2 linked regions of the Rhinolophus ferrumequinum genome follow. The protein of the gene in region 1 interacts with the protein of each later gene in a biochemical or structural test. Links are inferred from orthologs where the notes say so. Each region holds a gene or a part of one and is shown in the gene's direction. Other genes may lie near its edges. The genes, in order: ATF7IP and MBD1.

Region 1 (7,453 bases):
AAGAAGTAGAGATAAGATTCCAATTCAGGTAGTAAGCCTTCAGAGCCCATTTTTGTAAGCACTATTATTAGTCTGTCTTTCATGTTATAGTACTTAGAAACTTCAGTTTTCCTTTTCAGCTATTTCTTTTTCCAGTTTATTCTATTTTTTTTTTAATTGGGGAACAGTGTGTTTTCCCGGGATGTCAAGGCATCGTTTTCAGTCTAGTTGTACAGGGCGCAGCTCACTGGCGCATGTGGGATTCGAACCGGCGACCTTGGTGTTATGAGCAGTGCATTCTAACCACGGAACAAACTGGTCGCCCACTGGTGGCTCAGCTCCAAGCTTAAGCAGCTCCAAACTCTCACTGGTCCACGTGGGAATCGAACCGGTGACCTTGGTGTTATGAGCACTGGCGCTCCAACCACTGAGCAAACCGGCAGCCCACCTGCAGCTCAGTTCCGAGTTCTAGCCATTGTTTTCAATCTAGTTGTGGAGGGTGCTGTTCACTGGCCCATGTGGGAATTGAACCGGCAACCTTGTTGTTAAGAGCTCGCACTCTAACCAACTGAACCATACGACCGCCCCAGTATTCTATTTTTCAAAAGTTCTGTTTTCCTTGTTTAATTTCTGCTCAATTGCTACAACTGAAAATCATTTATGTATGTTTATTATTTTAGGTTGTTTTGGGTTTTGGATTTTTTTTTTCTGTCAGAAGTTCTGAGATCTTGTTTTATTCAGGCATTTTTTTCTAGAAGCATATTCAGAAAGTATGTATAAATAAGGCCATAATGGTGAGTAAAATATGGAAATCTTTCAGTTGTTCTGTGCTAGACCAAGCAGTTCCAATCACATACTTCCACTAGAAGTATTGTATCCCTTATATCCCCACCCCTGAATATTCCTCCTACCATTGAGTCCACCTCAGTCCCCAACTAAAGAACCCCTGAACCTCTCCACAATCCTACAACTAGAAGATTAACATCTTACAAAGTAGGGAGTGTTCAAGCCTGCTTCTATTCTAATTGGTCAGTTGGTGCCACAGGGATTGATAATTATTTTGAACACCATCTTACCTAGAAGTTGAAACTATACCTTTTTTCATTCTTCTGTGTCTTTGAGTTTCTGTTTTATCTAACTTGAATTCTCTTTGTTTTGTACTTATTCTGACAACCACTTTCAGTTCTACATTATGAGTCAGGTCAAATATCACCTTTTCTATGAACTTTTGCTGTATACTACGAGGAAGATTTAGGTCCTCCTGTTTTACATTTCTTTTATACTTAGTGTATACCTCCATGACAATACTGATCTCATATTGTTTATCTGTATATATGACTTATTCCCCATTTAGAAGCAGTGTCATTTCCTGTGGGCATCTCCAATGCTTAGAATAGTATGTGAGTACATAATAAATACTATACTTGTTGAATGAAGAAACAATTGAATTGGTTAGGTCAACCATCAGGTAGAATAGCTGAAGAGACTATAAATGTGTGGTTGAGAATATCTGGGGACAGTCAAATACAATAAAATTGTCTAGTTGAAGACATAGGGAGACAAGTCTAGAATATCAGCATATCTAAGAAAATAGATCAATTGTTGAGTTAGTGCTGAATTATTTTTCCCTTTGCCATTAGCCTAGACAGTTGAGAGTGAAGTATTATAAAAATGATTCCTTTTTACTTGCTTATAGAAGATATACAAAGAGAAACCTAATGGATTCTATTATCCCAATCCCATTTCTCTTACTATAGAATGTAACGTTTAATATCAATGTCAATATTTACAATTTACTGAGCATTTATTTTATAATTGAGCACCTATAACTAAATTGTAACATAAATTTGTTATAATTGAGCCTCTATTTGAAATTTATTGAACACCTATGTACAATTTTCTGTGCTAAGGACTTTACAAAGCTTAGCAATTAAGCAATGCAAGTGTTATTTCCTGACTTAAACCTTTTAAGTGATTCCTCTTTGCTCTCACAATAAAGTCCAGCTTTAGGCAAGAAATCTATTAAACCAGTTCTCATCTTAGAGATTACCTTTTAGGAAGGCATTACTGATTCTCCAAATCTGGATTAGATGATATTTTTTTTTTTTTTTTGTAAGACTTTTTTTTTTTTCAATTGGGGAAGGAGTACAGGACTTTATTGGGGAACAGTGTGTACTTCCAGGCCTTTTTTCCAAGTCAAGTTGTTGTCCTTTCAATCTTAGTTGTGGAGGGTTCCTTTCAGCTTCAAGTTGTTGTCTTTTCATTCTTAGTTGTGGAGGGCACAGCTCAGTTCCAGGTCCAGTTGCTGTTGCTAGTTGCAGGGGACGCAGCCCACCATCCCTTGTGGGAGTCGAACAGGCAATCTTGTGGTTGAGAGAATGCGCTCCAACCAACTGAGCCATCCAGGAGCTCAGTGGCAGCTCAGCTCAAGGTGCCGTGTTCAATCTTAGTTGCAGGGGGCGCAGCCCACCATCCCTTGTGGGACTCGAGGAGTTGAACTGGCAACCTTGTGGTTGAGAGCCCACTGGCCCATGTGGGAATCGAAAAGGCAGTCTTCGGAGTTAGGAGCATGGAGCTCTAACAGCCTGAGCCACCGGGCCGGCCCTAGGTGATATTCTTAAAAGCCACCCAGCATCAACTAAGTTAAAAGGCCCAAATTATAACAACCAGTGTCAACCACCCTGCACTAGTTTCTTAACTATTTACAAAACCTGTTTACTTTTCTGTCTTCTCCACTATAGTATAGATTTCTTGAGGACAGGCGTCTAATATAGGTCTGGAACCCAGTGATTGCTAAATACTGAATGAATTGATTAATTTAAGGGAGAAATTACATTTAAAAACAATAACCAAACTTTACGATCTATTTGTCAAGCTTTTCTTGCTTTGCATAACACACTTACTCTTATCCTATCTTTTTGCCTTCCCAGCCGATTTGAACTACAGGTTTTATCACCATTTTAGAGATAAGAAAACTGACTAACACACTTATTCCACGGAACAGGCAAGTAAGCAGAAGTACTTGGGTGTAGGCCCAGATCTCCCAAAGGAGTAGAACCTTCTCCACTACCTCCTGTGGCTTTCATTAAGGGTTGGCTCCCAATATAAAATTGCATATAAGGAATACAACTTCTAGTGGAAGTATGTGATTGGAACTGCTTGGTCTAGCACAGAACAACTGAAAGAAAAGATGTGTTTTCGTCATTCCTTCATTACTTATACTTAGTATACTTAGTGAGTTTTTAATATAAATCAACATACTCCAGCATTTTTGAAAATCTTCCCCTCGGCTCTTTAACTCTCACCTACCTGTTTCCTTCCTTCCTTCTAAGACTCATAGAGGGCGCTCAAAAAGTGCTACTCACTGGTCGAAGGAAGTTCCACTGAAAAACACCTCACACTGCAACTGAAAGGCACAGCGCCACCACCTCAGACTTCCTTCTCTTTTCCACGACAGGAGGCGTGGCCAATTTCCCTCATTCAAATAAAAAAAAAAATAAGCCAGGCGATTTGCATGGGAAACGTCCAGTCCGTGAGCCTATTGGCTGATAGCACAGGGGGCGTGGTCAACATTACGACCACTGAGCCCCGCCTACAGTAATTTGCATAACGGCCCCGCGCGTGCAAGGGAGAAGCGGGTTTGTTTTTGAATCTGCGGCAGCGCGGCGACGGCGGCGCGGCGGCGGCGGCAGCGGCGGCGGCGGCGGCGCGGCGAGTGAAGTGCGCGAGACTGAGGAGGCAGCATTGGGGACGGCTACGGGAAACGGCTCTCTGGGAAGGATATTGGTTCCCCCGTCCTCATCTCGCGACCCGAAAGGTATATGTGCAATCTAGGGGCTGTTAGAACCATATTTTCTTAAATTACTATTGTATTTCTGAAGAGTCAAGACCGCATTATGGCGGCTGCGGGAGTTGTGTTTGCGCCTGCGCGGTTGCGGAGCTGCGGGCGGGCGCTGCATGGGAGCACGTGATCTTGCGGGTCCGGCTCTAGCTGCAGTTGTGCAGCTGGCGGGGCGGTGGCTGCGCAAGCGCAATATTCATTTTCAAGATCTAATGTTCTTGCTGGACGCCATTTGGGTTCTAGATTTAATTTACCTCCTTCTAGAGGGGTTACATTTTGTTACCCTCAAATTCTCACATTTTTCAGGGAAAACGTTTCTTTTATGTTGTACTTCTGTACTGACCTCAAACTGTTTTCTTATATTTCTCCGATTCTCTGAGAAGCTCTGAGAGACTTAATTTTCTGTAAAAGTGATCGTCACTTGTGGTTCTTGATTATAATTTCACTTTTAGTGTGTTGCTGGATTCCAGTTTATATTTAGGGAGATAAAGATCAGCACCTAGTGGTGTTCTCACGGGAAGTGCATTTATTTGAACTGCATATTTGCAATTATATTTTTAACCCTGTTTTACCAGTGCTGTTATGGAATGTTTACAAAAGAGAAACAATTTGAGTTTTGGAAATATAAGGAGGTCTTGTTTAAGAAGTAATCTTAATCTCCTTGGGTGTTTATTTTTTAAAAATGTTTGATCCTAAGTCAAGGAAGTTTCAATTTTAATCAGTTTGTGTTCCTCTTATACATGCATTTAAGTTTTACACTTTTTCAGTCTCTGGTCACTTGTCTATTACTGCTTCAGTTAGATCATTTTTGTTACTCCTTAAAAATTAAGCCATTTTCTTAGCATTTTGTTTGTTATGATATATAAAATATAACACTTGGTACATTTTTCTGATAAAAAACTCTGCAAAGGTCTCCCACCTACACTGAGGCCATGATGAGGAAGTGAACCATCAATAAAAATAAAAACAAATTAGCTGATTAAAAAAAAAAACTGCCCCATATACATACGTATGAGATAAAATTGTTGTGTTTGATCTTGTTTAAAGTTATAAGTGTGTTCCTGTTTTTACTTTCTTAAAGAAGGTAGTTATAAGTAAGTCACTGATTATTTTAGTTTAAAATGGTAGTGTCATTATATGTAAATCTTATATAACACCCCTGGGAGAAGTTTTATACGATTTACTATAATTCTACCATTGTGCAAATTATTTCTTACTGTTCTAAAAACTTGTAAATGGTTTTCATAAACTTCATTTGTGGTTTGTATATGTAACAATTGGTTTTCTGGTTGGTTATATAACTCAAGTTTAATTCAGTCACCTGCCAGATGAAGAAGTGGTTATTGCTTTTTAATCTTGGTTGCTTTAGGGACGTTTTTATTGCCTAAAATAAGTACCATTACTAAGTATTAAGATGTAATTGAAAGGAATACTTGTGGTTGGTGGATTTTTTTAAAAAATGACATTATATACGAATATGAGATAGAATGGAGTGATAGGAAAAAATTCCTCTTTATTCTATTCTGACAATAAAAAATTGTCGTTCATATAATTCCTGGACTTCTGAAGTCTTCTACACAGAACAGTATTTAGAAGGCAGTTGTGTAATCTTCCCTTTTATACACACCCCTCCCCCACCTCCTTTGACATTGTTTCTGGTGTTTTTTAGAGTTGAAAATTTGTTTTTTCTGTATTAGTGAGTATGTGTATACACATAGATATTTAAGTTAAGAAAAGAACTTTGATCTTAGGGCGTGGTAGACTTTGCACTTCCAGAAAAGTGAAATGTTTTGGTATATCTATCTATCTATCTATCTATCTATCTATCTATCTATCTATCTTTTTTTAAATTTAAGTGTGTTTTTCCAGGACCCATCAGCTCCAAGTTAAGTAGTTATTTCAATCTAGTTGTGGGGGGCGCAGCTCATAGTGGCCCATGTGGGGATCGAACTGGCAAACTTATTGTTAACAGCGCCGCGCTCTAACCAGCTGAGCTAACTGGCTGCTCCTGGTTTATATATTTAAGATGATGTTTTTATTTGAATATACAAATGATTGCCTTGTAGATTAATGTTAAGATTATGAGGTACTTGAAAACACTGAAGAACATAATGTACAATGTAAATATGTATTGATAGGTCAATTTTGCTGTCATGTTTGTTAAAAAGGCAAATACAATTCTATAAACTTAAAACTAAGACTGAAGAATTGTCTGAATATCCACTATTTGTTTATTTGTACTTTATCAATAACAAACATGTTTTGAAATTGTGCTTTCATAGTTGTGATGCCACAAAATTTTGACACATATGCAGCATATATAAATATTAAAACTAGGTCACGCTACGCAAGAATGAAAGTGATTGGGGTCATTTAAAATCTTTTTAGTTTTATGAGTTTAAAGCCTCATAGTATTTAGTTTAGAAATAAAAGTTTTGATGGGGCGGCTGGATGGCTCAGTTGGTTAGAGTGCGAGCTCTCAACAACAAGGTTGCTGGTTCAATTTCCACCATGGGATGGGCTTCGTCCCCTGCAACTAAAGATTGAAAACAGCGACTGGACTTGGAACTGAGCTGCGCCCTCCACAATTAGAGTGAAGGACAACAACTTGGAGCTGGTGGGCCCTGGAGAAACACACTGTTCCCCAATATTCCCCAAAAAAATTTAAAAAAAAGAAAAAGAAAAAAAGGTTTAAGTCATAAACCATTAAAATAGTCTTTTTTTCCCTTTAAAGTGTAATTTGAATGCATGATGGATATATTTAAATATTTTTTACTTATTATAGCACATTTGAAACATGTTGAAATTAATTAGCATTTAGAAATAATTGCTCTAAAAGTTTTGGTGATTTATGTGACTTTTCCATGGTTGATTATTGATCAGTAACAATTGATCAGTTTTTTATTTGGATCATAATCTTATTCCTGCTCTTTAGTATTGTATTATAGATATTTTGCCATTTTGTTATTCTTTTAAAATATTTTTAATGATACATTATATTGTGACAATATCCCAGATTATCAGATAGTCTTCAAATATGTTTTTAAATGGCTACATTATGTCTCTATGTAGAATGTTCTGTGACTTACTAAACCTTTCTTTTCTTGTTGACCATTTTGTTTGTTGCCCATTTTTCTATTATAAATGCTACAGTGAACATCTTTGTACATGAGGCATGATCTGCATCTCATAATATTTCTTTGAAATTAGTATTTCAGAGGGCTTTTAAAGTAATTTACAAAATTGATAAAAACTTAGCTTTTTTGAAAAACATTTCCCATACCTCCATCAGTTTGGTGGTTGAAAATAGTATCTCATTAACTTCCTTTTTTTCATACTAACTAGTGAAGTTGAACTTTTTTATGTTTAATACATATATGCAGTTTTCTCATTTTGGGGGAAATTTTTGAGGATTTTTAGTGTATTTTTCTATGGTGGATGTTAATGTTTTTCTTGTTTATTTGTAACAGCTATTTATGGATATCAGCTTTTGGCTTTTCATATTTTTTTTAGTTTATTTTTAAATTGCTCATGGTTTTACATATTCAGAAGTGTTATATTTTTATGTAGGCAAATGCACTGCTTTTTTCACTTGTGATTTCTTCCAGGACTTCTCTGCCTAGAAAATACTAC
Region 2 (7,453 bases), on another chromosome or scaffold:
GCGGGCACCCCATCAACCCGCGTGTGGCCTTGCGCCACATGGAGCGCTGCTATGCCAAGGTCAGGGTGTCAGCCTGAGAGGGGCACACGGTGCAGGAGTATCACTGGGTCCGTGGGGGACAGATGTGTTGTCTTGGGAGGGCATGCAGCGCATGTCCACAGTTCCCTCCATTTGTGTTCATCCTTCCAGTATGAGAGCCAGACGTCCTTTGGGTCCATGTACCCCACACGCATTGAAGGGTGAGTGTGGGTACTCTGTAGGGTTAGGGCTGCAAAGTTAAAGCTGGGGTCAGAAGTGGAATGTTGTGGCAGGATATGGGCATGGGCAAGGATAAGTGAGACCTCTTCCTTCTCTCCCCCCACTACGCTCTCTCTTTTTCCAATACCCAGGGCCACACGACTCTTCTGTGATGTCTACAATCCTCAGAGCAAGACATACTGTAAGCGGCTCCAAGTGCTGTGCCCTGAGCACTCACGGGACCCCAAAGTAAGGTTTTCCCTCAACTCCCCCCATTCTGACCCTCCTACCTTCCTCACCGCTCCACCTCCTTTCCTTTTCCCACCTGACCACTTCCATAACTCACACTTTCCCTGCCTCATTACCCTTCATTCATCTTCTTTTGTACTCTCTCATCATCTCCTTTTCCTCCCCTTTTCCCTGCCTCTTCATCCTCTGTTCCTCTCCTTTTCCATTCTTCACTCTCCCTTGAACTCTCCATGCCTTCCCTCCTTGACCACTCCTCATTCTTATTTTCCTTCCTGACTTAGCACCTCTCATTCATCCCCACTCCATCTCCCTGCAGGTGCCAGCTGATGAGGTATGCGGATGCCCCCTTGTACGTGACGTCTTTGAGCTCACAGGTGACTTCTGCCGCCTGCCCAAGCGCCAGTGCAACCGTCATTACTGCTGGGAGAAGTTGCGGCGTGCTGAGGTGGACCTGGAGCGTGTGCGCGTGGTAGGTTTTGATGCCGGATGTGGCCAGGGTGAGGTGGGTCTTCCAGAACTCCTTCTCATGGCTCTTCTCCCCTGGCAGTGGTACAAGCTGGATGAGCTGTTTGAGCAGGAGCGCAATGTACGCACAGCCATGACAAACCGGGCAGGATTACTGGCCTTGATGTTGCACCAAACAATCCAGCATGATCCACTCACTACCGACCTGCGCTCCAGTGCCGACCGCTGAGCCTCACTGGCCCAGACGTCCTCACACCCTGCATTCCAGGCGTGGGAGCTTGCTGGAATCCTCTTGCTGTTTGTAATGGTCCCTGAGTTTTTCCTTGTGCCCGCCCACCATTTGACTGCCCATCAGCCCTTACCAGAGGGTCTCAGAATTTCCTCCTGTCCTTGTCTTTCCCATTTTCTCTCCATTTTTTGTTTCTGGGTGGGACTGTGGAGGCTGCTCACTCTTGCTCAGCCTCCCTGGTTTTGTTAATAAAATTTTGTGAAGAACCAAGAAAGAGAACCACTGATGGTCTCCCAACTTTACCCAGTTGCAACTGCATTCCCAAACCCCTGGGGTAGATGGGCCGTGGCACACCTGTACTCATGAGGGACTGCACTGCAGTGCATGTGTAGGCTGAGTATACAACTGGCACCCACTTGGTGCAGGTTCCCTCCTTGAGCTGTGGGCATACGACCTGCTGAGGGAAGAGCCCAATGGCCCACCATTCACAGCCTCATTTTGAGACAGTCCAGTCAGCACTCGTTCAGTGTGTGGCTAATCGATTTACTACTGCTGTGTGAGTGTTAATATTCTCCAGACCAAAGGTGTACCCGATGATCCCAAGGCCCCCTCTTTCCCCACGAACCCCTCTTTGGGGACATGTATGCAGCAGGAGTCCACTGACTTTGTGCCAGAAGCCTCACCCCACTCAATCTGCTTGGCAGGTCCAGTGGGGCTCACAGCTTGGCCTTTCCAGGATGGACCTGCCCTCATCCGTTGCATGGACCTGGCCTTTTGTTTACCTGTAGTGTGGCACTGCCCCCTTCCCCAGTTCTGGGGAAAGAGCTGGGGCCAGCTCAACATAACTTGTCTCTGCTCTCCTGCAGCTGTTCAGTGGGGAGGAGAGAGCGGGATACAAGTCTTGGGGGAGGTGTTCATAGGGACTGGGGCACCTGCGCGACCTAGGCGAGAGGAGGGCTCCAGCACAAGACCAGGCATCGCCGTGCCTCCCTCCTGGTTACTCCTTGTGGAGACCTAGCGTGAGCTTTTCATGACTATCAAAGTATCAGTCTCACACGTCTGTTCCACCTCCTGCCCCCCACTCTGGTTCAAGCCGTTGTTTCTCAAGTCTAGTTGTGTAGGACACAGCTCCCTGGCCCATGCTGGTGTTATGAGCCTTGCGCTCCCCCGGCTGAGGCAGTCGGTCGCGGGTCGGCGGCTCACGGCAGCTCTCATAGGCTGCCGGCCACGCACGCTGGCTGCACCTGGCAGCACACGGTAGCCCACGGCAACACAGCAGCCCAGGATGAGTCGTCGTTCACAATCTTCGGTATAAAGGGCGCAGCTCACTGGTCCATATGGGAATGAACCAGTCACCTAGGCGTTAGGAGCACGGCGATCCAACCACCTGAGCTATGGGGCTGCCATATGTTTGTTTCTACAATGTTAGACTTTATTAGAATTAAAGCCATGGATCTAGTCGTACCGACTGGGTTTACCACAGGCATCAACCAAGGCTCTGGCCAGAGGATAGCCTCCAATGGTCGAGGTAGAGCAGTTTCACACAAGAGGTTTGCAAGCAATAGGGTTAGGCAAGGTGAACAGTCTTAGGAAAGAAGGAGAGAGTCCGCTGTTCACCGAGAGTCGCTGGAGTGCTTGGGTGTCAGGCTGGGCAGGTGAGGCCGTCAGGAGGCAAGACTGCAAGCGCTCGGTCTGAGATGAGTGCAAATGCGGCTGTCAGTTGAGGCCTGAATGATGAGCCCTCAGAGAGCTCTGTTTTCGTTCTCAAGCCTGGGTGCGGTGCACCCATCTGTAGTCAGATAAAGCCTTCCAGATGGTCACTCTCCACCGTGCGCCTGGATAGGGTGTTCTGGTTATCTGGTTTGGGCATTCACTGGGTATGCCTTTCACGTGCTCTGGCATGACTGTCACTTTGTGACTGACATAACTATCAAAGTCATAAGTAACGCTCTATACAAGACCACTTAGGTAAGGAATTCCACGGGCCAACCCCAACCCTCTACGCCCCCTCAGGTTGGGACCAGAGAGCGCAGGCGCAAATAAGGTGGGCGGAGCGGGGAGAACGCGCTGGCGGACAACGCCAGAAGCGCACGCGCTGCGGAGCTCGGATAGGGACACGAGCCGTAGTTGGACTCAGCGCGCAAGCGCAGCTCGTCCTGGCAAAGGGCGCGCGCAGCTGCGGAACCCAGCACGCAGGCGCAGGATCCTCCCTATTAAGGGCAAGCAGAGGCGGTCATTAGCGCGCAGGCGTCTCGCTGGGAGCGGAACCCGATAGGCGGGCCCCGGATTTCCGGTGTCGGGGGCAACGAACGGCCGCGGCGGCGACAGCTACCGTTTCAGAGGAAGCTGCAGCAGAAGAGGAAGAGGAGCAGAGCCAGGCGGGAGGTACAGGCGGGACCCTCGTCATGGGTCCGCGGACCTAGAGCGGCGGAAGCTACCGGCCCGAAGCCGAGCTGGTGAGACAGTCGTGGGGGTGGAAGTAGAGAGCGCTCAGGCGGAGGATGGTGAAGAATTGAGGCTCAGAACCCTGACGGAGCGGGCCCTCGGGCCGATGAGTGGGAGGAATGGCGGCGTCGGAATATTGAAGTGGAGGAATGGGTAGATTTTAGACGGAGGACGGAGAGAAATGGGGCTCAGAACGCTGACAGTGGAAGTGTCGGGATCCTGGACGAGGACGGAGAGGAGTGGGGGAGGATCCGAGCGCTCAGGGGAGACATCGGGGCCTTTCACGTTAAGGAGAGAAATAGGTGTTCAGACCCCTGAGGGGAAGAAATGAGGTGCCCTCAGGCTGATGACGGAGAGAAATAGGGGCACTGGGATGCTGAAAGGGAGGAACGGGTCTGTTATGGAGGACGAGGAGAAACGGGTCTGAACACTGACAGGATGGCATGGTTCTGGGACAAGAACAGAGGAATGGAGGGTGTAGAATGCTGAGGGGAGAAAGCAGGATCTTTTAGGTTCATGAGAGGAATGGAGGATGAGGACGCTGAAGGGAAGGAGAAGAGAACTTCCCGGCTGCAGAAGAGAGGAATAGAGAGGTTCGGGGGCGAGATGGGGAGGAATTGTGGCTCAGAACACTGAGAGGGGACACAAGGGGGGAGGATTTCAAGCTGAGGAACAGAAGGAATGAGGGGCCATTTAGGTCAGGGTTATGGAGGAGTTGGGGACTCGGGCAGAGGACAGAGGAAACCGATGTAGTAACGCAGAGATAGCAGGATAAAAGGACATCACAGGGAAGGAATGGGAGGGTTAAAAGGCCGAAAGAGAGAAATTAGGGACTCCTGGGTCAAGGAAGGTAGTGAATGGGAATGAGAATCCTGACCGAGTGCCGGGCCCTCAGTCTGAGCAGGAGTGGAATGGGAGCCGCTGGGCCTGAGGATGGGAGGGACGAGGCCTCTCAGGCTGAGGATGGGGAGTATGAAGGTCTTGGGGACAAAGGAGAGGAGTAGAGGGCCAATAGGTGACAGAAAATGTCTCGTGGGCCAAGGACAGCGAGAATGAAGGGAAAGAGTGAGAGCCTCCTAGGTTGTCATTGGGCAGAAATGATGGCATCTCAGGCTGAGAATGGGGAGGAACGGGATCAGGACACTGCGAGTGAGGAATGAGGACCCTTGGGTTGAGGACGGGGCTATCAGGTCACAAGGGTGAGGAGTGTCAAGCTCCTGGGCCTGGGACAGGGAAGAGTTGGGTGGGAATGGGGGTTTTCTCTTCTTTATGTTGGCCAATTGCCTGTGGCAGGTCCCAGGTCTTGGGCAAGTATTAATAGATACCAGTGGTTTGTGTGGCTTGGGGCATAACATGTCACCTCCTAGAGCCTCAGTTTCTCCCGTTGCTCCTCCATGTTGCAGGCCGCTGCTCCTTCCCGTGGTCCCCATGGCTGAGGAGTGGCTGGACTGCCCAGCCCTGGGCCCTGGCTGGAAGCGCCGGGAGGTTTTCCGCAAGTCAGGTGCTACCTGTGGACGCTCAGACACCTATTATCAGAGGTACTGGGTGGGTTGTGGACAGTCAGGAAGGGCTGAGCCTGGTTAGGCAAGGTGAAATTGGGTGTGGTTAAATTTATGGGTGGAGCTAAAATTATGCATATATAGTCAATCCTTATTACTTGCAGATTCTGTATTTGTAAATTTGCCTACTCACTAAAATCTGTTTGTATCCCCAAAGTCATTACTCAGCTGTGTTTTCGTAGTCATTCGTGGACATGCACAGAACAGCAAAAAAAATTTAAGTCGCCTGGTGCACGCACTCCCAGCTTAGGTTGAATGAAGCGTTATTTCAGCACTTGTACTGTATCAAGTCCTTTTCATGGTCTACTTAGTACCAAGCTTTTTGAATTTTTGTGATTTTTATTGCTGATTTTGCTGTTTATGATGGTCCTAAAACTTAGTGCTGCAGTGCTATCTAGTGTCCTAAAGTGCAAGACGTCTGATTTGCCATAAGAAGAAAATACATGTTAAATATGCATCAGCTTCATTCAGGTGTGAGTTGTAGTGCTCTTGGCTGTGAGTTCAGTGTTAATGAATCAAAAAATATGGTACATCTAGAAAAGAAAGAGGACGTTTTTCAATTTGTATGTGAGGCTCCTCCAGAAAGTGCTAAAGTAACATCTGTAGTACGTGATGAAGCTAAGGAAAAGGTGGGAAAGTGGCTAAATTCATAGATCCATGAAATGATGAACAAATACAAAGTGTAGTGGACAGCACTGTGAGTCCTGAAAGCCAAGGACATTGATGGTCATTTCTTACCCAGGGTTAAGAAAATGTTAAACCTATTACTGCTAGTGCGGGCTGTCTCACAGGTTTCAAAAGGTGATAACGTTGTTAAAAATGTGAAATTTTCTTGCAAGGCAGGTTCTGCAAATCAAGAGTGCTGAAGATTTTTTAAAAATACCTGCAAAGTGCTACATGGGAAAAGGGTTGGGTAGAAGAGTAGATTTTCAGTGCTGGCTTGTTTTATAAGGACGTTGGCAAAGAAACCTGTATAATGCAGATGGCCTGCAAAGCTTCTGGCTTTAAATCAGTCAAAGCCATGCAGTTCATTATTTGTAAGAAGAAGATATTAAGTAGGGTGTCCTTTAAACAGAAACACACAAAAAACAAGGTTACATAGGATTAGTTTACAAGAATGTTGTGAGTAGAGGCTTGTAGGAACCTAACCTGTAGTTCCACAAGGAACAGTGGTTCTGTATTCACTAATTCAGCGTAGACTTTATAGAACCAGATGACTTTATAGAACATAACTACGATAAATAATGAAATTCAACTATAAATACACAAACTTACGTGTTTATAAACAGTTTACATTTAAGGACTTACGTTACTTTAAGGTGTACTAGTGAGGGAGGGGATGGGGAAGAAGGTGAAGGGATTAGAAAGAGCAAATTAGTAGACACAATATAGTCACGGGGATATGAAATACAGTATGGGGAATATAATCAACAATGTTGTAAGTATTATGTAAGGTGCCAGATTGGCAGTGGACGTATCAAGGGGATCACTTCATACTGTAAATGCACGATCAATGTGATGTACAAGTAAAGCTAAAGTAGGATAAAACTGTATGTCAACTGTGACTGTATGTGTGTGTGTGTATATATGTGTATATATGTGTGTATATATATATATATATGTGTATATATATATATACATATATATATATTTATGTGAGGTGGAGATAGCATAAGGAAGATAGTCAATGGTGTTATAACAGTTATATAAGATGTCAGAGGTTGCTGGTTCGATCCCGCATGGGCCACTGTAAGCTGCGCCCTCAAAAAAAAAAAAAAAAGATGTCAAAGGAGTAGTAGCTTGGGGCGGGGGCTTATCACTTTGAGAGGAGTGTAAATGTCTATTAAGTTGCTTTGTACACCTGAAACTAATAATAATAAAAAGAAGATATACTAGTGATATACTAATTAAATTTTCTACACTCTTCATGAACCTTTTTTGGGTCTAAGTTGCTGTTTTCCTGGAGGAATATAATAACATTACAAATACAGTTACATTTATATTTAGTTGTACATTTATTCACATATTTACAACTTGTATAAACGTTCAACATTGATAAATGTAAGTGCAATTATCAAGAATTGTAGAGGATCTGAGATTTTTACCCTACTTAGGTTAAGATAACAAGTGTCAGTTTAGTGGATGCTGGTAGGAGATAAGAGATTCCTGGATCAGGGATGAAAGAAAATTTATTACTCATAGCAATAACAGTATCCAGAATGTCATAATTTTTGTGTGGGTTCCCAGAATGCCAATTCCGACAGGGTCA

Evidence for each region.
Region 2: the proteins of ATF7IP (region 1) and MBD1 form a complex in vitro, tested with the Homo sapiens proteins (2 studies listed by BioGRID). The link is inferred for Rhinolophus ferrumequinum from reciprocal best matches to the Homo sapiens genes ATF7IP and MBD1.

The regions. Positions count from the first base shown.
Region 1 is NC_046293.1:28,750,160-28,757,612, forward strand, and holds the start of ATF7IP (activating transcription factor 7-interacting protein 1), read left to right. Parts: upstream 1-3,650; 5' UTR 3,651-3,796; intron 3,797-7,453. UniProt on the Homo sapiens protein: Recruiter that couples transcriptional factors to general transcription apparatus and thereby modulates transcription regulation and chromatin formation. Can both act as an activator or a repressor depending on the context.
Region 2 is NC_046302.1:41,089,092-41,096,544, reverse strand, and holds the start of MBD1 (methyl-CpG-binding domain protein 1), read left to right. Parts: upstream 1-3,441; 5' UTR 3,442-3,636; intron 3,637-5,028; 5' UTR 5,029-5,053; coding exon 5,054-5,163; intron 5,164-7,453. Other genes in the region: CXXC1 (CXXC-type zinc finger protein 1), read left to right, coding at 1-59, 190-239, 390-486, 803-955, 1,034-1,180. UniProt on the Homo sapiens protein: Transcriptional repressor that binds CpG islands in promoters where the DNA is methylated at position 5 of cytosine within CpG dinucleotides. Binding is abolished by the presence of 7-mG that is produced by DNA damage by methylmethanesulfonate (MMS).